Linked DNA regions of Drosophila melanogaster. The gene in region 4 interacts genetically with the main gene of each other region. Each region holds a gene or a part of one and is shown on either strand. Other genes may lie near its edges.

The links.
Region 1: of ple (region 4) and Itpr, changing one suppresses a phenotype caused by changing the other (phenotypic suppression), as found in Drosophila melanogaster (one study listed by BioGRID).
Region 2: of ple (region 4) and Txl, changing one suppresses a phenotype caused by changing the other (phenotypic suppression), as found in Drosophila melanogaster (one study listed by BioGRID).
Region 3: of ple (region 4) and Ask1, changing one suppresses a phenotype caused by changing the other (phenotypic suppression), as found in Drosophila melanogaster (one study listed by BioGRID).

What each region holds. Positions count from the first base shown.
Region 1 is NT_033777.3:5,515,225-5,520,156, reverse strand, and holds the start of Itpr (inositol 1,4,5,-trisphosphate receptor), read right to left. Parts: upstream 3,041-4,932; 5' UTR 2,269-3,040; intron 1-2,268. Other genes in the region: Nmdar1 (NMDA receptor 1), read left to right, coding at 3,769-3,945, 4,017-4,139. UniProt on the Drosophila melanogaster protein: Receptor for inositol 1,4,5-trisphosphate, a second messenger that mediates the release of intracellular calcium. Together with MCU, has a role in oxidative stress-induced ER-mitochondria calcium transfer.
Region 2 is NT_037436.4:5,763,848-5,767,584, forward strand, and holds Txl (Thioredoxin-like), read left to right. Parts: upstream 1-1,998; 5' UTR 1,999-2,162; coding exon 2,163-2,528; intron 2,529-2,585; coding exon 2,586-2,869; intron 2,870-2,928; coding exon 2,929-3,142; 3' UTR 3,143-3,237; downstream 3,238-3,737. Other genes in the region: CG10576 (uncharacterized protein), read right to left, coding at 587-749, 812-948, 1,240-1,337, 1,494-1,581; Ppat-Dpck (bifunctional phosphopantetheine adenylyltransferase - Dephospho-CoA kinase), read right to left, coding at 3,289-3,737.
Region 3 is NT_033777.3:19,878,012-19,885,754, forward strand, and holds the start of Ask1 (apoptotic signal-regulating kinase 1), read left to right. Parts: upstream 1-1,707; 5' UTR 1,708-1,912; coding exon 1,913-2,032; intron 2,033-2,104; coding exon 2,105-2,299; exon of another isoform or gene 2,300-2,871; coding exon 2,872-3,050; intron 3,051-3,472; coding exon 3,473-4,370; intron 4,371-4,426; coding exon 4,427-4,765; intron 4,766-4,831; coding exon 4,832-5,634; intron 5,635-5,697; coding exon 5,698-5,844; intron 5,845-6,184; coding exon 6,185-7,084; intron 7,085-7,144; coding exon 7,145-7,417; intron 7,418-7,482; coding exon 7,483-7,720; 3' UTR 7,721-7,743. Other genes in the region: Arc42 (Activator-recruited cofactor subunit 42), read left to right, coding at 1-197, 266-1,239.
Region 4 is NT_037436.4:6,713,494-6,721,258, reverse strand, and holds the start of ple (pale), read left to right. Parts: upstream 1-1,733; 5' UTR 1,734-2,185; coding exon 2,186-2,254; intron 2,255-3,243; coding exon 3,244-3,355; intron 3,356-3,586; coding exon 3,587-3,706; intron 3,707-3,832; coding exon 3,833-3,925; intron 3,926-4,309; coding exon 4,310-5,129; intron 5,130-5,424; coding exon 5,425-5,551; intron 5,552-5,890; coding exon 5,891-6,289; 3' UTR 6,290-7,765. UniProt on the Drosophila melanogaster protein: Plays an important role in the physiology of adrenergic neurons.

The DNA.
Region 1 (4,932 bases), on a different chromosome or scaffold from region 4:
CCTCGGCCCACCTGAGCAGAAAAAACGTGAAGCACACAGATACTCACACAATCACACCAGACTGGCGCTGATGAGAACACTTTGCTTCTCATCCAGTCTGCTTCATTGATAACACCCGACCTCCGCATCCGAACAAACACACACACACCCTTAATAATTGCAGCCAAGTGGGCTGTGCACATCGGATGGGCGGGGGGCGGGCGCTTATATTTTATTTGCAGCTCCAGAATGTCGCTTACACAATTTGCCTGTTTATGTTAATTGCTGGCGCTCCCAGGCGCCAACCCCGGCCACTTTACCGCCCCCCCTTCCACAAAATCCCCACCAGCTGCTCAATTCAGCTTCGAATTATGCACATGCTCATGGCAAGCCCACATAAATTGGAGCAAACACACGATTGTGGTCAAAAAAATAAGCATACCTGAGAATCTTCAATGTGTTTTATTTATTTAATGTAATATCTTTGTGGTCAGTTTGTTTAAATGGTGACAAGTGGCAAAACTGAACAAATTTGGCTGGTTGGTAAAATTTATTGATTAAAAATCATGCACAAACGTTATCAGTATGTCAAATGCAATTATACGACAACTTTTGGAGAATTATCAACTACAGTTGAGGGATTCTGAGAGAATAACAAAAACAAATTGTGAATTTTTTAACTCTTTATATTAAAATTGATGACATCTGAATCGTGGTTAAAGAGAAAATAGTTGTCAAGTTCCAACTTTTTTTTTTAAATATACATATATAATTGCACAAAAACATAATAATCAAAAAAATTTTAATACTATACCGAACTAGCGTTTAAAAATTAGAATATATATGTACATTTTCTAGCCGGTTGATCAAAGTACCCGCAAATGACATCTCAATTGACTGGTTATCTTCAATAAATGAAACTCACTGCACATACTATCTATTGGTCCCATTGATTGTATAATTTAGTAATTTGTTCGACATTATAATGTGAATATAATTGATCGTAATTGTGTGATCATAGGCCCATTAACCCAATCATGATTACATGCAAATCAAGAAGTAGTGAAGTGCGCTCTTTCAATCGCAACAAAAAAACTTGGCCAGAGAGGAATTTGGCGATGAAAAGCCATTTTTTTACCCCAGGTAATGGAAATCATCGCGTGCAGCAGGCTCAACACGTCCACTTTTCATCCCCCTCCCCCATCTTTTTTGGTATCCCTCATCTTGCCTCTTACTCTATAGCTCGCCACCTGCCCAGTCAACACCAACAACAATGTGGCGCTTAATTAAGCACGCGTCGCCCAGTCAGCATCTCTCTTTCTCTCTCTCCCTTTCGCTCTCTCTCTCTTTTCCGCTGTCTGCAATCAAGATGTGTGCACTGAGAGAAAATATCGGCGCTAAGTTGATTTTCTCGAACGCAGATGCATTCAGTTCAGAGGACGTCAAGTGAGAAATTTCCAAAAGTGATTTGCATAACTTTAGGAACTGACAAAGAAATATTAGGATTAAAAAAATCCAAACTTTTCTCGAAACTGTGGGCGTGACTGTTTTGAACGGTTTGTGGGCGTTAGAGTGGGCGCGGACGTTGTGAATTAAACTTGCACATCTAGATTTTATAGATCCCGAAATCTCGATCTGATCAATAATATATGTATCCGGTATACCCTTTCACTCTACGAGTAAATACGAGTTTTAATTATGACTATGTTACTTCGTCATTATAATTCTTAAACACTCCCATTTGAAGAATTTTTGTATAACAACAAACAATCCCTCTCACCACAAAACAATTTTGGAAAGCATCACGTTCATATACATAGTGGCTTGAGTTGAAATCAACACTTGACTTCGGAGTTGATTCCCTAAGGATTTATTTATATTTTGTTTGAGTAGCTGGCATAGAACCATACCCCCGATAAGCAAATGTCTTCAATCAGTGGGATTTATATGTTTTTTCCTTAGCTTTTCTATTCGTGTAAGCAACAAATAGTGGCCACTGCAACGTAATTGAATCTCAGCGCATTTCTGGCCCTTTCGCTTTGGCTTATTGTCAATTATTGAGCGAAAGCAAGAGGCAAGAACGAAATCAAAATCAAGTGGGATCAAAAGGCGAGGGCGTGACTGCTAGATAATAGCTATCGCGGTAATTAGCCTATCGGTTCGGTCGTGATAGGCTTATTGCCTTATGACCTACTTAAATTGGTGGCAAGCCCTTCGGGAAACCAGAAAAACCAGTAACTGGGCTCGATTGGCAACAGGTTGTCGTTGTCGTTGTCGTGGGATACTCACCGTAGAATGTATGTAATGTAAAATATCCCTTGTAGAGATGTGCTACTGTATTGTGATTGGTATTGAATCATCCGTCGATAGACGACGATCGTAAATCGAATTTGACTTTATATTTATTTTATTCAAATGCAAACACTCGCGGGCACTCGAAAGAACTTAATATATTTTCACCTTGAGTGGGCCGCACTTAGCCGCGGAAAAGAGAGAATAACAATAAGTGGGAATACGGTGAGGAGGAAGAAGAAGGCCCAGAAACCACACACAATAACAATAACAATGCCGGGGCAGCGACGTCGGCAGAGGAGGTTTTGTCAATAAGAAATAACCGTTAAAACACGCGACAAACAATTCCGGCTGCGGGAAAGAGAGGCAGCATGCGATACAACGTCAACAATCGGCTCTCCCGACCCCACGATCCCGTTGACCACCCACAAGCAGCGCAGTCGCAGCGCAGCAGCAGCGCGGGCAAACAAAACGATTGTCGATTTCTACGCACTTTTCCCAATCACGCACACACACCCACACACGCACGTCGCGTTTAGGCCAACAAATTGAAATTGGCCAGCATTTCGGGCATAAATTACGCGCTCAAGGCGTATGAAAATGCAATTTTCCAGAGCGCCGCGTCATGCGCGACTTCGTGTACCGTACCGCTCAGCTCCTCCGTCTCCCTCACTCCAACGAAGTGCCAGCGCAGCGCAGATAAGGCGGACCGACGCGGAAAACCCCAGCGAAAACACGTCCGACTGAAAGCGCGGTCGAGCAACAAGTGTTTAAAAACCGTCGAACCATATGATCGATTAGTGTGACCGCGCGAAAAATACTAGTTAGCCGTTAATAAATGGTGTAATTGACATCTTAACTGTTTTATGCACACATATATAGAATTATTGACAGTAACACGTTAATTGCATTTACTATTGACAAGGAATGACATAAGCAAGTGTTTGAAAACCGCAGAACCAACCATATGATAAATTAGATGGGAGCGCATGGATAAAATACTAACATACTCTAAATACTAGTTAGCATGGCAGCACAGGGTAGAGATTTGAATCTTATTCAAATATTCATAGTTTTTTAGTCATCTGTGCTTGAAAATTCCAGATCAATGTTGATAGATTGGCCGAGGATTAAAATCTTTCCACTCATCGACTCACATACTTAGATTTTGCTTCTAATGCCTATTAACACAATGAAATGGTCACTCTAACGATCTTGCGTTGGTATTCATTTTTTCGCGATCTGGCATTACCACATATGTAAGAAAACACCGCGAATTCAAAGTTCTGCTTTTTCAAAAATGAGCAAAATAAACTTTAAGAAATCTTGTCTTTGACCATTCTCATTGCTGCAATGGGAAATGGAAAATGCCATTAATATGCGGCATCTCCCCTTTTCGACTTGCAGAAAATGCTGGATGTTTGCTCGAGAAACCATTGAAATCGTTGCACAAAACACCTCGTTTATCCTCCCCCAGAAACTATAGACTTCCGCATCATGGCTATGGCTGAGTTTGTTTTTTGCCGGCCATTGTTTGGGCTCGCCATTGTTCTCCTGGTGGCGCCAATTGATGCCGCCCAGAGGCACACTGCCTCGGATAATCCCTCGACGTACAACATTGGCGGCGTACTGAGCAATTCCGACAGCGAGGAGCACTTTAGCACCACAATAAAGGCAAGCCCATTGACTAACTGGATGCTCCACTAATCCGAATGCGATAATCACGCTTTCCCATCCAACCGCAGCACCTCAACTTCGATCAGCAGTATGTGCCGCGGAAGGTCACCTACTACGACAAAACCATCCGCATGGACAAGAATCCCATCAAGACGGTCTTCAATGTGTGCGACAAGCTCATCGAGAATCGGGTAAGTCGGTGGCCAAATGCAATTACCTGCTCATTTCCGACCATTCCTCCATCGCTTGAAGCTGCTCACATACTCGTATCTGTGTTTAACCCGACCTGGTTCGATTCATTTCCATAATTTAAGGGGAAATGATTCGGAAATGGGATGATGACAAGCGGTAATGCGCCAGCAGAATCCAATATCCATGAGCTAACCAACTGGAGCTCTTAGAGCGAAAGAGTGCTTAAATGTGCAAATTGAACTATAATTATACAATATTACTTTAAATGCGTTTTGTTGTTATGAACCAGGTTTGCAGAATGATATATAGAAGGAGTTTGTAGGGGTTTGGTTATTAGAAAGCTAAGATTTATAATCATAATTATCTTTTTAATTATTGATGGTCTTTAGTTGAGCTAAGTGATTTACAATATTGTCTACTATTTGGCAACATTAAAGTATTATCGGTACTTATTTGTCACTTATTCTAAATAAAAATATATAATATTACAAACTGGGTACAAATGTAAAGAACCATTCAAATGAAATAAGTGATTTCATCGCACTGTACTCATGTACAATGAAGGAAATCACAAAACTGGATTCTTGTGCAATAAATTATCGCTGTTATGCACAAAAAGGTGTCCATAAAATCCTAATGACGAAGAGCACTTCGGCACTTAAAGTGCAATGCACCTTTCAGTGTGAGACTTCGTCACTTAAAGCTGAAACTCTTTTTGCCGGCAAACTTGTTGGCTTGCCATTTTGATTATCTTTGCTTTCCATCCATCACATTTCCCATATTATGCCACAT
Region 2 (3,737 bases), 950 kb from region 4:
AAGAAAACATTCCAATTCCCTTTGACTAATCTTAATCAAATATCATAGTATACTATAGATAACGCAAAATAACAATAACTGATCGGCATTATCATTGCGATTGTGGACAACTTTAAAGACCGAACATTTCAAGTATCTAAACTTGTTCAGTTCACGAAATCGACACTGTTGATCTCTGCAGACGTTGAGCTGTGCTGAGCCACGAGTTAAGGCAGCAGACAATCCGTTGCCTGCAGATTACAATTCCGACATATCTATAAACTGGAGATGTGGACAAATTTAAAGACCGAACACTTCTATGGAATGAACTTGTTCAGTTCACGAAATTGACACAGTTTCTATCCGCAGGTGTTGAGCTGATCTGTGTCAGAGTTTGAGCGCAGTCAATCCGTTGCCTGCAGAAGAAATAACCTTGTGGACAACTGACAAGAAGCCTCCAGTCCTGAATAATAGGCCAGGGCAATTACCAGCTGCCACAGCTGATCTTTGCAAGTGTTGAGATGTTCAGTCGCTGGAGAATCGCGGCAGACAATCCGTTTCTTGCAGGGATTAACGGAGGATTACCTAGAAGTAAGGGAGGACTCACATTGGCGCCGGACTTGAGCAGACGTAAGGCAGCCTGGACAGCCCAGTAGGCGGCGAGGATGACATCGGCCTGGCGACCACTGATCTTCTGATCCGCAGCAGCGCCTACCACAATTGTGTGAGCGGCCACGGCAATGAAACCATCAATGTGGGCACCCAGATCGCTGTAGAAAAGAAATGTTACGTATTTAGTGGCGGTATATGTGGAATAGGAGGTTCAACTTACATTTTGACCACATCACCGGCCTTTAACGTGTAGTCAGCATCGTTTTTGGCTGGCGAGAAGTGGCAGACACAGTTGTTGACGGACAGACAGGTGGGAAAGGCAATGCCCTTCTTCAGGTCTTTCTCCTTTTTGTATACCTGTTTGTGAAAGATCGATAAAAGCATTAGATTGCTTGTTCGTTGTACTATATATCAATGATAGTGCGCGGTGTGTCCTCAGATCTCATAATCTGTAAATCCTCGGGACCTTTTGGAGAGCACACAAGCCGGGCACGTGGAGCATTGGAGTCCCCGCGTGCGCCTGGCGACCACGAGGTGATCCCCAGCCCGCACAGCACATGGCTCGCCATCGGGAAACCCTCAAAGGTGTAAGTCTTAATCATTGGACATGAAATTGGCGCGAATGACCGCCAGGTGGCCACCACTTACTTTGCCGGTCTCCTCGGTGAGCTGATTGTCGCCCTGGGTGCAGATCTCCCGGACGGAGGCATCAACCACGCAGAGTCCAATTACCGCCTTGAGGGTTTCTAAAATTAAACGAGCAGACAGAGTCCAGAAATAGGCAGATTAACCAACGCGTGGCGCACAAGGGAAAGCGGCATTCGGTGCATTGTGTAAGCGCCACGTAGCAGCGACTCCAGGAATCGGCCAGCGTTCGCTGTTTCCGGCCAAGGAATACTCACTGTTGACGATTTCGCCGGCCAACTTATACTTGGTCACCACCAAATCCTCGGCGATGGTCTTCTCGGGCTCCTTTTCCACATCTGCCATTGTACTTGACTCTAATAATTTTAAAATGGCGACTTAATGAAAATGCGACCGACTGAAACACCACGAGGTAATGAACGTGTGGCCAGGCGCAGCGCAGGTATCGAAAGTTCCAGTGGCGTGTATGGTGGGACCGCTCATTCGCCTTGACAACCCTGGCAAATGGGCGGTAAGCTTAAGATGAGCGTGAAAGCGTAGATTGCTAGTCGTAAACACTGAATGAATTTTAAATAACACTTTGAGCTATATCAAATGAGAATATTTCATAGTTTTACATATTGTAATCCACTAATATTTCAATAAAAGTTTAAATATTAAGTTTCGGTTTTTTTCTATTACACATAAATGGTCCCTCTAAAAATAGGAAGTCAAAGAGCTCGAAATATCGATACCATCACAGTGTGACCGCTTGTGGAATACCGCATTCGGTATTTTTCTTAGCACGAATTTGGACTAAATGCATATTACAAGTCATCTTTAACAAAAAAAATTTGCATTGAACGTTAATAATAACATTTACTTGCTTAAATCCAATTCGGCTGCCGAAACAAAAGCTCAATTAATAGAAACCTAATCCTATCACCATGTCCGTGCGCGTGATCAACGACGAGTCCCACTTCCAGGCGGAGTTGGCCCAAGCGGGCATTCAATTGGTTGTGGTGGACTTCACAGCTTCGTGGTGTGGTCCCTGCAAGCGGATTGCGCCCATCTTCGAGACGTTTCCAACAAAGTACCCAAAGGCCATCTTCCTGAAAGTGGATGTGGACAAGTGCCAGGACACGGCTGCTGGACAGGGCGTTTCGGCCATGCCAACATTCATCTTCTACAGGAACAGGACCAAGATCGATCGCGTCCAGGGTGCGGACGTCAATGGGCTCGAGGCCAAGATCCAGGAGCACATCGGTACATCCGGTGGCGAGGAGGGGGGCGAGGATTACGGGCAGGGATTGGTAATATAGTGCAGTATTTGGAAATGTTCCAAAAATAATCCCTAATCCTTCTTACAGATGGAACTGAATACATTTATTTCGAAGCAGGAGTGCGAGTGCCTCAACGAAGCTGATGACCACAACTTAAAGCACGCCCTGGCCTCCGCCGGTGGCTACCTGCAGTCCGATTGCGATGAGCAGCTCATCCTGTCCATCACCTTTAATCAGGCTGTGAAGATCCACTCTTTGAAGTTCAAGGCACCTTCGCACCTGGGTCCCAAGGATGTGAAGCTGTTCATTAACCAGCCCCGCACGATTGACTTTGACATGGCCGAGTCCATGAACAGTGTGCAGGATCTAAGGTAGCTATTGCCTTCTCTATGGCTGCTTAGCTCTTCTCACTGTTCAATCCATTTTGCAGCCTGGCTCAGAAGGAGCTGGAGAGTGGAGTGCCCGTGAATCTGCGCTACGTCAAGTTCCAGAATGTGCAAAACATCCAAATCTTCGTGAAGAACAATCAGTCAGGTGGCGATGTGACGCAGATTGATTATATCGGCTTCATCGGTTCCCCCATCATGACCACCAAGATGAACGACTTCAAGCGAGTGGCTGGCAAGAAGGGCGAGAGCCACTAAGGTTCCATTGAAATTTTCAGCGTTTTTCCCCAATGACGTCCCAGCATTTCTTTTCAACTTTGGACTTACAACTAAACAATATACAACAAATGCATAAAAAATCATACAAAATAAGGATCAACAAGATAATCTAAATATCCATCGGGTTAAAGGCTGCTCTGGTAAGAGTCCAGTTCCTTGGTAAGCATTTTCCACGCACGCTCCGCCTGTTTCTGGGTGAATTCGTGATCCCATTGCGAACTGAATATCACATGCGACTTGGCCACGATCTCAGAATTGGGCACCTGACTGGCCAGTCGCTTTTGGGCCTCCACTTCGCTCAACTTGTTGCGCTCAATAATCCGCCGCACAGCCTCATCCGGTGGCACAATCATGGACCACACCTCATGGCAATTGGTCTCCCAGCCCGCTCGCAGCAGCACCGCTGCCTCCAGGACCACCACACGCGGCACGTCCGCCTGGGAACGCAGTGCATCCAGCCGCCTGTTAACCTCCGCAATAAGTTCCGGCCAGACAATGCCGTTGAGTGCTTGCAACTGCTTGGGATCGGCAAACACCAAGGGTCCCAGCTTGGACCGATCGATGCGACCATCGT
Region 3 (7,743 bases), on a different chromosome or scaffold from region 4:
AAATGCTCGTCAAATTGCCTCATTGTCGGCGCTTTCGGAGACGCACCAGATGCTGCAGAAGTCCTGCCGGGACTTTGCCAACAATGAGCTCAGTGGAAACGCAGCCAAGTTCGATCGGGAGCACCTGTATCCAGAGAAACAGATCCGCCAGATGGGCGAACTGGGCGTGATGGCAGTAGCGATTCCCGAGGAGCTGGGTAATTAATATTACGCCCACCTCAGCCCTCCTTATAGTATCTCATTGTATCTCTTTATTGTTAATCAGGCGGCACTGGACTGGATTATGTGGCCTACGCCATTGCCATGGAGGAAATCTCAAGGGGCTGTGCCTCTGCTGGCGTCATCATGTCGGTGAACAACTCCCTGTATCTGGGACCGCTTCTCTCTTTCGGAAACGATGCCCAGAAGAAGGACTACATCACACCGTTTACCACCGGCGAACGAGTGGGCTGCTTCGCGCTCTCTGAACCTGGAAACGGATCCGATGCTGGAGCTGCTTCCACCATAGCAACCGACAAGGGAGATCACTTCGTGCTGAATGGCACCAAGGCCTGGATCACAAATGCCTTCGAGGCGGAGGCAGCCATTGTGTTCGCCACCACCAACAAGCAGCTGAAGCACAAGGGCATCTCCGCATTCATTGTGCCCAAGGCTACCAAGGGCTTCTCGCTGGGCAAAAAGGAGGATAAGCTGGGCATCCGGGGATCTTCGACGTGCCAGCTAATTTTCGAGGACTGCGTGGTGCCCAAGGAGAACATGCTGGGCGAGCCGGGTTTCGGTTTCAAGATTGCCATGCAGACGCTGGACGCCGGCCGCATAGGAATCGCTGGCCAGGCGCTGGGCATTGGTCAGGCTGCCCTCGAATTGGCCGTGGACTACGCCCAGAAGCGACAGGCCTTCGGCAAGCCCATTGCCAAGCTCCAGTCCATCCAGCAAAAGATCGCGGACATGTCGTTGGCCATGGAGTCGGCACGTCTGCTCACCTGGCGCGCCGCCTGGCTGAAGGACCAAAAGCAGCCCTACACCAAAGAAGCTGCAATGGCCAAGCTGGCTGCCTCGGAGGCGGCCACCTTGTGCTCCCACCAGTGTATCCAGATCCTGGGCGGAATGGGCTACGTGACCGACATGGCGGCCGAGCGTCATTACAGGGACGCCCGCATCACTGAGATCTACGAGGGCACCTCCGAAATCCAGCGACTGGTGATCGCGGGCTCCATTCTAAAGGAATATGCTAGTTAAGATCAAAGTTATATATCCGTACTACTTGTGTCTCGTTTAATAAAGAACGTTTTTAATATACTATTTTGCTAGTTCTATTGAGTTGTATAATTGTTTATAATAGATAGAAATACATGAAAAAAACACCTACAACATTTTAATTCTTTAGAAAAAGTTAGCAAAACAATAAATCTTCGTTCAAAAAGTAAAGTAAAATAAGTGAAACTCTTGACTACTTTTTAGACGTTGCATATTTGTAAATTAATTAAAATAATGAACCTTAAGTGCTTTTAAAATATATTTATAAACAAAGCTTATTATTTTATATGCCTAATTATATTATATCTTTTAAACCAAATTTTAAATGACTCAAAAAAATGGGAACTTGGCGCCAAAACTGCAGCAAGGCTTTGTCGGTTAGCATATTTGTGTGGTATTTTTGTGACTTCATTCGGTATATTGCTGGTAGCTGTGCAGCGGTCACACAGCAAAAGCAAAAAGTTTCTTTATTTATTTGATAATTATTCGTTACGCGGTAATTAACGCGATGCAAGTGCAGCAGGAACGTGGTAATGAGAGTTTTTGCCACTGAGCTGCGCGTGTCGGCCGTCCAGAAAGTGCAGAAATCGCGTGAAGTGCGCGAAATCCGTCCAAGAGCAGAAAAGTGCCAAGAATAGCTGCGATGGAAACAGCGATGGATGTGGTGTGTGTAATGGATACGGCGGTGGGCGACCATCTGGAGGACCGCCAGTGTGCGCTGGAGGAGATCAAGCAGGCAGTGCAGTCGGCGGGCGCCAACTTTCAGCGGGTTCAGGTGCGCCAGCTTGGTTATACAATGGCATATGGGTGATTTGACTTACATCCCCCCCACTTGGCATCCTTGCAGTTCGAGCGCCTGGACTTCGGCGAGACGAATGTGCTGGAGACGTTTTACAACGCCGATGTGGCCATTATCGACCTGAGCATTCTCACCCAGCAGCGGCCGCTTTCCTATCACTACGGCGTTAGGGAGAGCTTCGGGATGAAGGAGAACATCCTCACCTACAACGACATCGATTCCAAGCAGACGCTCAGTCTCAAGGTGCGTTCGGAAGTGTTTACCTGGCCGGGCGTGCCTGGCAAACATCTGCGTTCGTGATCGGGAATCCGCTTCCGATAAGATAAATGCTATGACCAGCAACTGCGTGGACTCCTGGACTAGTTGTTCTTGCTGATCTTTCTACAGTCGAGCTTCCACAACGCGAACTGAGTTTATAACAAGTCTCTAACCTAGGTGCTTAGACACCTCTTTCTGGAAAATGACTAAAAATTATTCTATCTACTAGTCTTCCTTTAGCAAATTGCAAAAGAAACCGAAAAACTTCCTCTTTCCAGAGGTTAATAACTAAAACCTCTTTCCCATATGGCAGCCAATAATTTGAACTATGGAAGTTCGACTGTATTTCCGTCGAATCGTTTTCGTTATTTTTGTTTTGGCTGCGGCCATAAAGCAACAAAAGCATTGGCCCAGCAATAACAATAACAAATGCGAGCACGCCCACGCAAACACTCAAAGAGGCACGCACACACTAACAGCACGGTGTACACCAACGCAGCGTGGCCTGCATTCACAGTGGCGGTCATTAAATTAGGTACACTCTACTCCCCTTGCAGCTCTCGTGTGCCAACTACCTGTTTCTCAGCTACAAGCGGAATGCGGAGACCAATTCCTGCCACCTGACCAGCCAGCCCAACAGCGGCAACAACAGCAAGGAACCCAATGCCGAAGGACGAGTGCCCACTTTGCAGTGGCGCCTCAAGCGAAAGCTGCAAGATGTTGAGATCCAGTCGAAGTGAGTACAATCTAGGGAGTCCCCTTTTGCAGTAAGTCATGCACGGTGATTGCATATCGGAACACTATTTATAACATCCCCTGCGGCAGATTGGCTGCAAAAGTCACGCCCTGCATCTAAAATGAATCAGACCGATTTATTGTGTTGGCCTTGGAATTGCATATAAAATATCAATAATCGCTGAAAATTCTTAAGTCTCTTTATAGTATCATAATTGTCCTTTCAATTTAAATTACTTCGAACTTTAGTGATACTACTACGGGTTAACAAGTAATGAAATGAAAGTAATTGAAATCTTAAATTTGGTGTACCAGATAGATGCTAAGTTAATTAGTCTTTCAGCCAGAGCACGAAACACTGTTCCTATTATGCATTATTTGTGTACCTAAAAACTAAACGAAGCTATTTTCGGTTATTTACAGAGCCCACATGCGTGAGAAATTTCTGAGTGACATGCGAACGGCGCGGGACACGTACGCCACCAACGGCGCCAAGCTGCAGAGTATATTGCACGAGATGCGAAAGCGGCTGGACGATCCGCATGTCCTGTCTGGCGAAGTGGTACACAGTTTCATGTGCTCGCTGAGGGATGTGCAGGACTACGATGCCATGGTGCGACTGGTCAATGACCTGAAGAACATACCCAACACCCGGAAGTACGTGGAGACGGGCAACATGAGTTTCCTGTACGCCTTCGCCCTGAACCGAAGAAATCGAAAGGGAGACCGTGAAAAGGCTCTGGAATCTTCGCTGAAGGCGCTGGAAAAGAAGGAGAACCACTTTCCGGACATGCTCTGCCTGTGCGGCCGCATCTACAAGGACATCTTTGTGGAATCCGACTACACGGACGCCACCAGTTTGGCGCACGCCATCAAGTGGTACCGCCAAAGCTTTGAGGTGCAGCCGAATGAGTATGCAGGCATCAATCTGGCTACTCTGCTGGTTATCGAGGGCAAGGAGTTTACCAATACGGAGGAGTTGCAGCACATCGGCATGACCTTAAACAATTTAATCGGTAAAAAGGGCAGCCTATCCTCGCTGAGTGAGTATTGGGATGTGGCCACCTTCTTTGAGATCTCCGTTTTGGCCAACGACTACGCCAAGGCGATTCAAGCTGCCGAGTGCATGTTCAAGCTAAAGCCACCCAACTGGTATCTGAAGTCGACCATCGGAAATATCTCTCTTATACATCGATTTCGAAAGAAGCCCGAGGAACGCCAGCCGCCCATCGAGGAGCAGGTGTTCCAGTTCTGGATGGACTTCTTTCTGGAGGCCACCAACACCGAGGAGGTTAAGAACAGCATTCGCTTTCCGATTCTGGTTGGTACCCCTGATCTGCAGTTTAAGCTTTATTATTAACTCAAAACAAATTCCAGATCCTCGAGCCTCAGAAGATTTATATGCCCAGTTATGTGACTATAAACATGGATGCGGATGAGAAGTCCATTCAGATTGTGAACATCTGTTTGGCTCACGCAAAGAATGCGTGTAAGAAAATCCACGACTTCCTTTTCGTGGCATCGAAGATCAAGTCCGTCAGCCTTTACAAGAGGGATGATCGTTGTGCCTACTTGTACGTCCATCACAACTCAGATGATTTTCAAATATATTTTCCCTCCACTGAACGACGACAAAAGTTCTACGATATGATCCTGGAGATGACTGCAGATCAGGTGGTGTTTGTCAATCTCAGCAATGATGACGCTAATATCGAGGTAAGTTATTTATTATTCATATATACATATATTCCGGCCACTTTTGCTAATTATTATTAATTGTAGTACGAGTACGACTACGATGAGCAGAATCGCAAAATGGTGCTGGGCAAAGGTACTTATGGCACCGTGTACGCCGCCAGGGACAAGCAGACGCAGGTGCGAATCGCCATTAAGGAGGTGCCGGAAAAGAACTCGCAGGATGTGCAGCCACTGCACGAGGAGATTAAGTTACACTCTCAGCTGCGACATCGCAACATAGTTCGCTATTTGGGATCGTGCTCGGAGAACGGCTTCTTCAAGATCTTCATGGAGCAGGTGCCGGGAGGATCGCTTTCCGACCTCTTAGAGACCAAATGGGGTCCGCTCAAGGACAACGAGTCCACCATGGCCTTCTACTCCAAGCAGATCCTCGAGGGGCTGAAGTACCTTCACGAGCAGGACATTGTTCATCGCGATATAAAGGGTGACAACGTGCTGGTTAACACGTATAGCGGCGTGGTTAAGATCTCCGATTTCGGCACCTCCAAGCGGCTGGCCCGCATCAACCCGATGACGGAGACCTTTACGGGCACCTTGCAGTACATGGCGCCGGAGGTGATTGACCAGGGAGTACGCGGCTATGGCCCGGCGGCTGACATCTGGTCCTTTGGATGCACAAACGTTGAGATGGCTACGGGCAAACCACCGTTTATCGAGCTGGGTAGCGCCCATGCGGCCATGTTCAAGGTGGGCTTTTACAAGAAGCATCCGAACATACCCGAGGAGCTGTCCGCCAACGCAAAGAACTTTATTTTGCGTTGCTTTGCCATCAGCGTGATGGACCGACCCTCCGCCTCGCAACTTCTGGAAGATCCCTTCCTACAAGAGTGAGTTTGCTTAATTGTTTTGCCTAATTCCTTTCTAATTGCACTTTTAATTTTCTCAATAAGTAAACCCCGCAAGGTGCGCCCAGCCCTGCCCATCAATACTGAGTTCGGACGCAGCATTTCGGTGCCGGCTGATCGGTTTGTGCACAAAACCACACCGCCGCTGAGCTACAACACAACCTGCAATACGCCCACAACGCCGGAATTGGAGTAAGTTAAACGCTGCGACTATTCTTATCATGTTCGACCTTCCTCAATTACAAGCAGAGGTTATCTTATCTGTTGAAAATTATCATTTATATTTTGCTAATTTTAATGAATATAAAAATTTTTCCGTGCTTCTCTATATTTTCCCATATCGTCTACTATTATAAGAGTAACAAGTGCCTTTGCTTATCGTGTAGTTAACACATTGATTGTTGCTATCAGTAAAGTGCATATTTAATGATTGGAAAATGCGCACTCGGATTTTGATACTGAGAAGAGATAGCACTTGATGTATTGTAAAATAAACGTAATTTTATATTGTACTTTCTGTTTCCTATTTCAGCATAACGCATTCATCCTCGGTGGACATTGACGAGCTGCCCAGCAACCAGTTTATGCTTGAACGGCGAAATTCCCATGGATTTTTGCTCTCGCCAGAGATTGAACCTTCCACGCCGTCCTTGCGTACGAGCATTAGTGAGACGAGCGAGACTGACGGTTTTTACAGGCTTAAAAAGGATTCGCAGAGGCGGACAACGCTTTCCAAGGTGCTGGCACTAGACGAATCCAAGATCTGCGATATTTGGCTGAAGAAGGTCGACGCTGATCAGAACTCGATTGCGATTAGGAAAAGCGATTTGGAGGTTCTAATCCGAGGACTGCGGGACTACATTATGAACGAAAACGAAAAGCATTTGGAAGCGACTATCAACGAACTGAAACAAAAGCTGAACAACGACGCAGTTGCTCTGGACCATCTTCATTTGGCGCTGTACTCCTTTCAGGACGCCGTGGTCTGCGTACTGCGGTACCATTGCATCAAACCCCATTGGATGTTCGCATTGGATAATCTGGTTAAGCGGGCCGTCCAGGCGGCGGTCACTATTTTCTCTCCTGAACTGGGCGCCAATCTGGCGGACAAAGACCTGTCTGGAAATGATGATGAGAGCTTGCGTACAAGTCTAATGCAGAAGGGTTCCACCGAGAGCCAGGAAAAGCAGAGCCTGGAAAAAGTTCTTCCCACGAGCAACACTCGCGAAGGTGTGGGATTAACGCCTGCGGAATCGGGCGGGGATGCTCTGTCCAGTTCGATGGAGTGCGCGCGCATCCTGAGAGACATCCGTGACAATCAGCAGAAGCTGCAACGCCAGCTCCTTGAGCAGCAGCGGCAGAGCATGAGGGCCCTGCATAATATCAGTCAGGAGCTGGCTCACATTTACATGGGCGGCAGAAAGAGATTAAGGTTGGTAAACCAAGTAGGACATTGTAAATTTTATTATAATTCACAATTTCATCTTAACAGACGCACAATAAACGGCTTTAACAAAAAGTGCCATAGAATGAGTACCAGTGTGGGCGGAACGTCCGGAGTCCGTCCGAATATAGCGGGCAATCCCCGGAGGCAGCTAAACAAGCATCACTTTGGTCTTCACGAAGTAGACGAGCAGTTGGAGCAGTGGTTGACCCAGCAGGAAATAGACGAGTTCTCAAAGACGCTCATCCTGAATGAAGGTTTTACATTTGACGACTTTATCTATAACATGGAAAAGCTGGACCTCATGAGGCTGGGTCTGCGGTGCGTTAAAGCTTATAAGAAAAGTACACTTAATCCATGCTCAACTAACTTTTGGTATTTTGCAGCGTTGGCATCGAAGTGCGTTTGTGGAAACTCATTATACAAGAACGTGTGTGCACCTCGTCCGATTGTGTGGACAGTCCACCAAGCACTTACCACAAACCCATTGGAGGCAATAGCTCTTTTGCGCTTATTGACAACAACAATACGCTACCATCACCCACAACCACAACTCCCGGAACGCCGGGCATCAAAACGAAAATCAAGAAAAGCGAAAGCGAGTACGATTCGTGCAGCGAGTGACTGGAGTTGAAAGCTTTCTGAGT
Region 4 (7,765 bases):
TAGTTGGATAGTATTATATTTTTTAAATAATTTAAGTTATTTCCAGTAAGTGCTATTTATTAATTATTACCCTCGATATTCTAAGTAAAAAGCTTTTCGATGTTGTCAAATGTATTTCCTAGCTCCCACAAACTTATTAACTCACCAATCCCACTCTATCGATCCAATTTGTATAATGGATCTATCAGATCGATAATTATGTTTTTGCTACTCCAGATGCCTTAATAACTTAATGCGGATCGAAGCAAATAGACGTATATGTGATGTGTTAGCTCATTATCGGGCTCGTTAGCTCAATCAAACGATTCGATCTACTAATTTGAACGGTCCGCATTAACATCGGCATTAGTTAGTTAGTTAGTTGCTAGATGCAGGCTGCAAGGATGACCGGATTGTTGGCAAGTACAAGTGCACATATGTAGATCAATGGCAAATTTGCTTCGATCTCGACATCGCCGCTAACTGAATTTGGTTAAAAGCTAACACGATTGAAAATAATGCTGCCACTGCCACTGCCACTGAAAATGTCATTCGAATTGGCGGCCCGAGTCCAATTTGAGAAGCGGCGGCAGCCTTGCCAACGTTATCAGCTTACAGGACAGGAATATATATATAATTATTTATATAGATTGCTATATGGTCGGTCTCGTAATCCGTCAGCTGCCATATGCAAATCCCAATCGCCAGATGTTTTGACGGGGCTTTCAATTATGCCATAGATATTGTAATGTGCCTGTACTTATCGCCCGGGCTTAGTTTAATGTGCTACATTTACGCATGCAAATTAGTTGTTAAATGTGCTTTTAAAATTTAATCGATATGGCTGGGTGCCACCTACTTACATCTCGGGCACGCACGCAGCCATGTGATCCGTACTTCCTGTTTACCATTACTTTGTTTTCCAGCTCACTTTCACTTGGTCCCTATACGATCCGCTTCAGCATCCGCTCTAGTTCTGACGCGATTCGATTGAGTCATTCAGGATCTAATGCGAATTGCTGGGTTCTAAAACTGAACGAGATCTTCGACTGTTGTTACACCTAGAAAAATGGAACGTATCATAAACGTAAGGTGCTTTTATTGTCTAAAACATTCTTAATAATTTTAACCTACTTCTTTAAAATAATTCTAGTGGTTAAAAACATTTCCCTAAAACAACTTACAGAGTAAGAATGTCATATATTTTCATTATTTTGCTCTGTGCACACACGGCGTATGCTTAACATTTGGCATGGACTAGCTTCGCTTTGTTTGGATTTGTTTTGGTTTTTTCTGTATGACCTGTTGAGGCTTTTCAAATGACTCCCGTTCGACTGACTGAATACTTTTGGGGTATTCTACCACCATTCCGATTGACGCGCACGCGCTAATGGTTAACCCCGCTTTTTAGCCAAGCTACAAGAGCAACAAAAACATGGCCAATGCGACGTTCTAGCCTGTTGCCGCACTTGAACTTGGTCGACCAAGTTGAGTCGAGTCAGGCCCCGCGATTCTCGACCCACTCAGCTGGCTGGCTAGCTGGTTAGCTGGCTGGTGAGAGGAAACCCCACGGCATCGGCATCTTGGCTTTAACCCAGCTACAGCTGGGCAACTACGTCACAGTCGCGTCATGCGAAAACCAGTCATCGTCGTTTGGTGAAGCAAACAATCGTCGGCAATCGGCCGAAACGTTCGTTAACTTGGCCGTCGGAATCGGAATCTGGGGGTATTTAAGCGGCGGCAACTCGACATGAAGCATGCATTGATTCGCTATCATTCGCCCTAAAGACTTGTGCCCAGCCTCAAGTAGTTTGCTGACTCTGTTTGTTGTAATACAATTTAGCTGACAAGGATAATACACATCACCACATCAGTTTCGAGTTCGCGAAAGGATCCAGCTAAAGTTCAACCGATCAACCATCTATATATCCCGCCGTGAATTCGAGAGTCGAGAGTTCTTGTCCAGCTCAATTCTAGACGCAAACAGTTCAGTACCAGGAGCGATTTTCTTGAAAAACAAAACCACCCAGCCAGATCGCCAATAAGCAGTGAAAGTGTCAACACATTTCGAGTGCTTATTGCAAATCAAACAAGAAAAGCGTAACCAAGCACATAAGCAAATAGTATTCTAAGTGTTTTTGCCAACACTTTGCGTAAATTTTTGTTGTTCACCCCAAACGAAAACAACCCAAACACACAAAAAAAAATGATGGCCGTTGCAGCAGCCCAAAAGAACCGCGAGATGTTCGCCATCAAGAAATCCTACAGTATTGAGGTGAGTCGAAAATCCAGCAAAACATACAATTTCCAAATCGAATTGTAAAAAAAAAGAAGCAAATGAGTGACTAGATTTGGTCTACGTGACTATCTAAAGGTTTTGTGTTTTCAAAAAAAAACCAGTTAACCGGCCAGTAGTCGAGCCCATTTTTGTGATCCCGCATTTCTTTTTCGCCAATTCAATTTGACCAAACTCAATCCTCGGTTGGCCATTAAGTCACACCTCTAAGAACAGGCGGCCCAAATCGAAAGGCCCAAATCGCCAACGGACACAACGGGTTGTGTGTTAAGTTATTATTTAACAAATAAGTGAAAGTGGCTGCCTTTGGGCCCCATGCACTTAGCCTGGCCGAAACAGTCGCGCCTCATTGTTGTTGACTCGTCTCTGTTTATGTTTATGCTGCGTCCGAGCAAAACAAAAAATATGAAATCAATATAAATGATTCAATGAGTTGGTCATCTTTCATCAGCCAAAGCGGTGGCCCAAAAAAAAAAACTGAAGAAAACAAACAAACAAAAAAAAAAAAAAACGAGCTGACAGTGAAAACTGCAAGTGATGGAAACCTTTTTCCCCCCATCAAGAAAAAGAAAGAAAAAAAACCTTTAACGATCGCCAGTTGCATTTTTTTCCCGCCAGAATCGCATGGGGATTTTCGATTTCTCAGTCACATATCATTTATCTTCGCACCTGCCCGCTTCGAAGCGGCGACATCGCATTAAATTACCATTCGTGGCTTTGAATCACAATCAATACAGTTCCATGAATAGCCAGCTTTATTCAAAGAAAAAGATCTGAAGACGGCGCTTTCACACACCATTTTATATAATATTTTCAAAATTGCGCAATACTCTGCTCAAAGTCACCACCCAAGCGTGGAGCCGAAGAAAGCCACCCTGGCTTGAAGGTCAAGGCAATCGTCTAATTTCCGCTCCACATCCTGCCAGTGTCACTAACACGGACTTCAATCTTTTCGCTTTCGTTTCCAGAATGGCTATCCATCCCGCCGTCGCAGCCTGGTGGATGATGCCCGTTTCGAGACCCTGGTGGTCAAGCAGACCAAACAAACCGTCCTCGAGGAGGCCCGCAGCAAGGCAAATGGTAAGTGGATAGGGTCCAACAAGTGGGTCACTAAAATAGCTCCAAAGAGGGTTTCTATTTGGGATCAAAAGGGAAATTTTGCAGCTAGGGCTTTACTTGTTGATTAAAAACTTAAAAAGTTGCAATTTTTATTTCATTTTATTCGTTTTGACATAGATTTGCGTTTTTTTCTTATTCATTTTAACCCTTTATTTATTATTTGCCTTCGTTTTTATTTTTATGATTTTAAAGACGATTCCCTGGAAGATTGCATTGTGCAGGCTCAGGAGCACATTCCCTCCGAGCAAGATGTGGAGCTCCAGGACGAGCATGCCAATCTGGAGAACCTGCCCTTGGAGGAATATGTTCCAGGTTAATATCCATTTCCATTTCAATTCCCATGCCAGTTACTCCTCTTTCTGAGCCTATTATCTTTGATTTGATTTTGATTATGATTTTCATGGGCTTTATTATTATTTTTATTTCATTCGCTTTTAGTTGAGGAGGATGTTGAGTTTGAGAGCGTTGAACAGGAGCAGTCGGAGTCGCAGTCGCAGGAGCCAGAAGGCAACCAACAGCCGACCAAGAACGGTGAGCAGGGGGTTCTAGAATCCAGCAGCCAACCATAAGTAGTACTTAACTTCTGAGAGGGGCTTTTGAAAAGCGTGCGACATTGATTTAAGTGCTTAATATGATAAAGTGCCAGGGCAGAGGAAAAGCACTCAGCCACACGGACAATTGTGAGTGGGCGCGCTCGCTCGCTCTCTCTCTCTCTCTCTCTCTCTCTGTGGAAATGTCGCATTTCCCTTTTTCATTTGTTACGCTCGACTTAATACAAGTACGAAATGCGTTTGCCTGGCAACCGTCTCACTGCCACTGCCACGTAGCTCGCTTATCGTTTACGTGACCCTAAGCCTTGGAAGATTGCATCCTTAACCATCACATTATCCCCGCTTTTTTTTGGCCCTTTTGCAGATTACGGTCTCACCGAGGACGAGATTTTGTTGGCCAATGCCGCCTCCGAATCCTCGGATGCCGAGGCTGCCATGCAGAGTGCCGCTTTGGTGGTCCGCCTCAAGGAGGGCATCTCCTCCTTGGGTCGCATCCTCAAGGCCATCGAAACCTTCCACGGCACCGTCCAGCATGTGGAGTCCCGTCAGTCGCGCGTGGAGGGCGTGGACCACGATGTCCTCATCAAGTTGGACATGACCCGTGGCAATCTGCTGCAGCTGATCCGCTCCCTCAGGCAGTCGGGCTCCTTCAGCAGCATGAATCTGATGGCCGACAATAACTTGAATGTCAAGGCTCCGTGGTTCCCCAAGCACGCCTCCGAATTGGATAACTGCAACCATCTGATGACCAAGTACGAGCCCGATTTGGACATGAACCACCCCGGATTCGCCGACAAGGTATACCGCCAGCGTCGCAAGGAAATTGCCGAGATCGCATTCGCCTACAAGTACGGAGACCCGATCCCATTCATCGACTACTCCGATGTGGAGGTCAAGACCTGGCGCTCGGTGTTCAAGACCGTTCAGGATCTGGCTCCCAAGCACGCCTGTGCCGAGTACCGGGCCGCCTTCCAGAAGCTCCAGGATGAGCAGATCTTCGTGGAGACCCGTCTGCCCCAGTTGCAGGAGATGTCCGACTTTCTGCGCAAGAACACCGGATTCTCTCTCCGTCCTGCCGCCGGTCTTTTGACTGCCCGGGACTTCCTTGCCTCCTTGGCCTTCCGCATCTTCCAGAGCACCCAGTATGTGCGCCACGTTAACTCACCATACCACACCCCCGAGCCGTAAGTATCTATCATCATATTTTACTAGGGGGTTAAAATCACTTCAAAAAGGGGAGAAAAAGGCTCTTTGTCCTAGCCTAATTGCATTTGCCTGCCTGCCTGCCGCCTGCCTCTGTGTGTGTGTGGGTGGTTGGGTTTCCTTTTCCGCTTTTCCCAAGCAACTTTTGTCGCCTGGAACACAGGCAAATTGGCTACAGGAACTGCGGCAGGCTGCCCAGCTCATTTAACCAGACTAATTGCCTTATGCCAGCACATTTTCCACACTTTTAACAAGCATTATTCTATGCCATTACAGCGACTCCATTCACGAGCTGCTGGGTCACATGCCCCTGCTGGCCGATCCCAGCTTCGCCCAGTTCTCGCAGGAGATTGGACTGGCCTCGCTGGGTGCCTCCGACGAAGAAATCGAGAAGCTGTCCACGGTGAGTTGATTTTCTAATTGAGTTGCAATGTAACGACCTTAGACTCAAGTGCAGCTATGACGCAGCTAGTTTTTTTTCGCAACCAAGATCATTGTTTAGTCACTGTCAAAGTCGAAGAGGAAAAGTGAACTTCAATGCCAGAATAATTTTTTTCTTTTTATTCATATAGTTTACAGATACAATTTAATGCATTTCAAAACACTTAATTGTGATTTTAAATAAGTTTTTAAGTTCAGAAAACCTTGATCTTATAAGTCATACAACTTCCTGCATTATCTGCCTTTGCTTTTATTTTCCTTCCTATTTACTCATTGGTTCCTTACCATTTCATTTCTACAGGTATACTGGTTCACTGTTGAGTTCGGTCTCTGCAAGGAACATGGTCAGATCAAGGCCTACGGTGCTGGACTCCTGAGCTCCTACGGTGAGCTGCTCCATGCCATCAGCGACAAGTGCGAGCACCGCGCCTTCGAGCCCGCATCCACCGCCGTGCAGCCCTACCAGGATCAGGAGTACCAGCCCATCTACTATGTGGCCGAGAGCTTCGAGGATGCCAAGGACAAGTTCCGTCGCTGGGTGAGCACCATGTCGCGTCCATTCGAGGTGCGTTTCAACCCGCACACCGAGCGCGTCGAGGTGCTGGACTCCGTCGACAAGCTGGAGACTCTGGTGCACCAGATGAACACGGAGATTTTGCATCTGACCAACGCCATCTCCAAGTTGCGACGCCCGTTCTAAGTGGATGGGGGGGAGATATATGTATGATATATAGAAGCACCCAAAAACATCGCCCAAAAAAACACCAGCCACCCCCACCACCCAAACATACACATACAGGTGCAACGGTCTCATTTATACAAATTAATTTTAAATTGACATACCGCACAATCCCTCGTACACGTAATCCTTAAACCAAAATTAAGGCATCGCGCATTATTTTTTATTTTTTGTTTATTGTTTTTTGTTTAATTTTTATTTAATTGTCATCGAAAAGTTGTAATTGTCGAATCGCGCACATGGTAAAAAACACAAAAATCAAGCATATTTATTTGTTGATCACCCGATACACCACCCAACCTGCATATTTATCACCGCAACTATTATTGGACCAAAAAATCTTTAGACGTTTAAGTGATGTGAAAACAAAGCCAAGCCAAGCCAAGCAAAGCAAAGCGAATTAAGTGAAGTGAAAAGCTGGGAAAGCAAAGTTCAGATACATCCGCACTTAGTAGGCAAAGTACCACACAAAAACCGATTGTATACTCAGACAAAAATTGTTTTTGTATTATTATTATCTTCATTTTGCCTCTCACAATATTTACCTAGACTATATAGACACGCGATATAGTATTCCCGGTATAGGAAGCTTCATTTAGAGAGAGTATTTCTAAACAAAAATGATATAGATACAACAATCGAGCAAGGAACAAATGGAAAACAAACAAAAAAAAAAACGGAAAAGATAAAAAATGAAATGGAAAACAAAACAGAATTTTCTTACATTGTACAATAACTGTAAACGACAATATTACTATTGTGTACTATTATTATTATTATCTATTATTATACTTATGACTATTACGTATTGTATTGTAGGTATGTAGAGTTTAAACATTATTATTTTATTTAAGTTTTGTGTATTAATAAAATTAAAAATGCAATTGAAAAATAATTACTCTTTGGTTTTTTCATTTGATTATCTTCTTTGGCAATTCGAAACTCTAAAGTCTGAATCTGTTTAGGGAACATTTTATGACATCAAAATGGAATATTTATTTAAAATTAATGAGTAGAATCGAGGAATATGATAAATATATTTATGGGTGAGAAGAAGTGAATCTCATGTGAACTAAAATCGAGCTATGTAGAAAATATTTCACAAATTTGATGAAATTATATAAAATAACGAAAAACCTTGGACCAATACATATGTATTATTATAAAGTAATTAAAATCAAAATATTTCAAAGTAAACAAAGTAAAACATTGGGATCAAGAATATTACATATTTATAGTTAACGTAGCATGGAATTTTATTGTTATTGTTCGATGTATTGTAGTTGCAATTGGATCGAAAGCCAACCAAGTGTTAACATTTCTGCAAGCAATTAGCCAAACTAATTACTAATTATATTCGCACATAAATCTATATATATAATCAACTTAAAGCGCAGTTGGTCCCCAAGCCAGGCTTCGTTGGTTCTGAAAAATTCA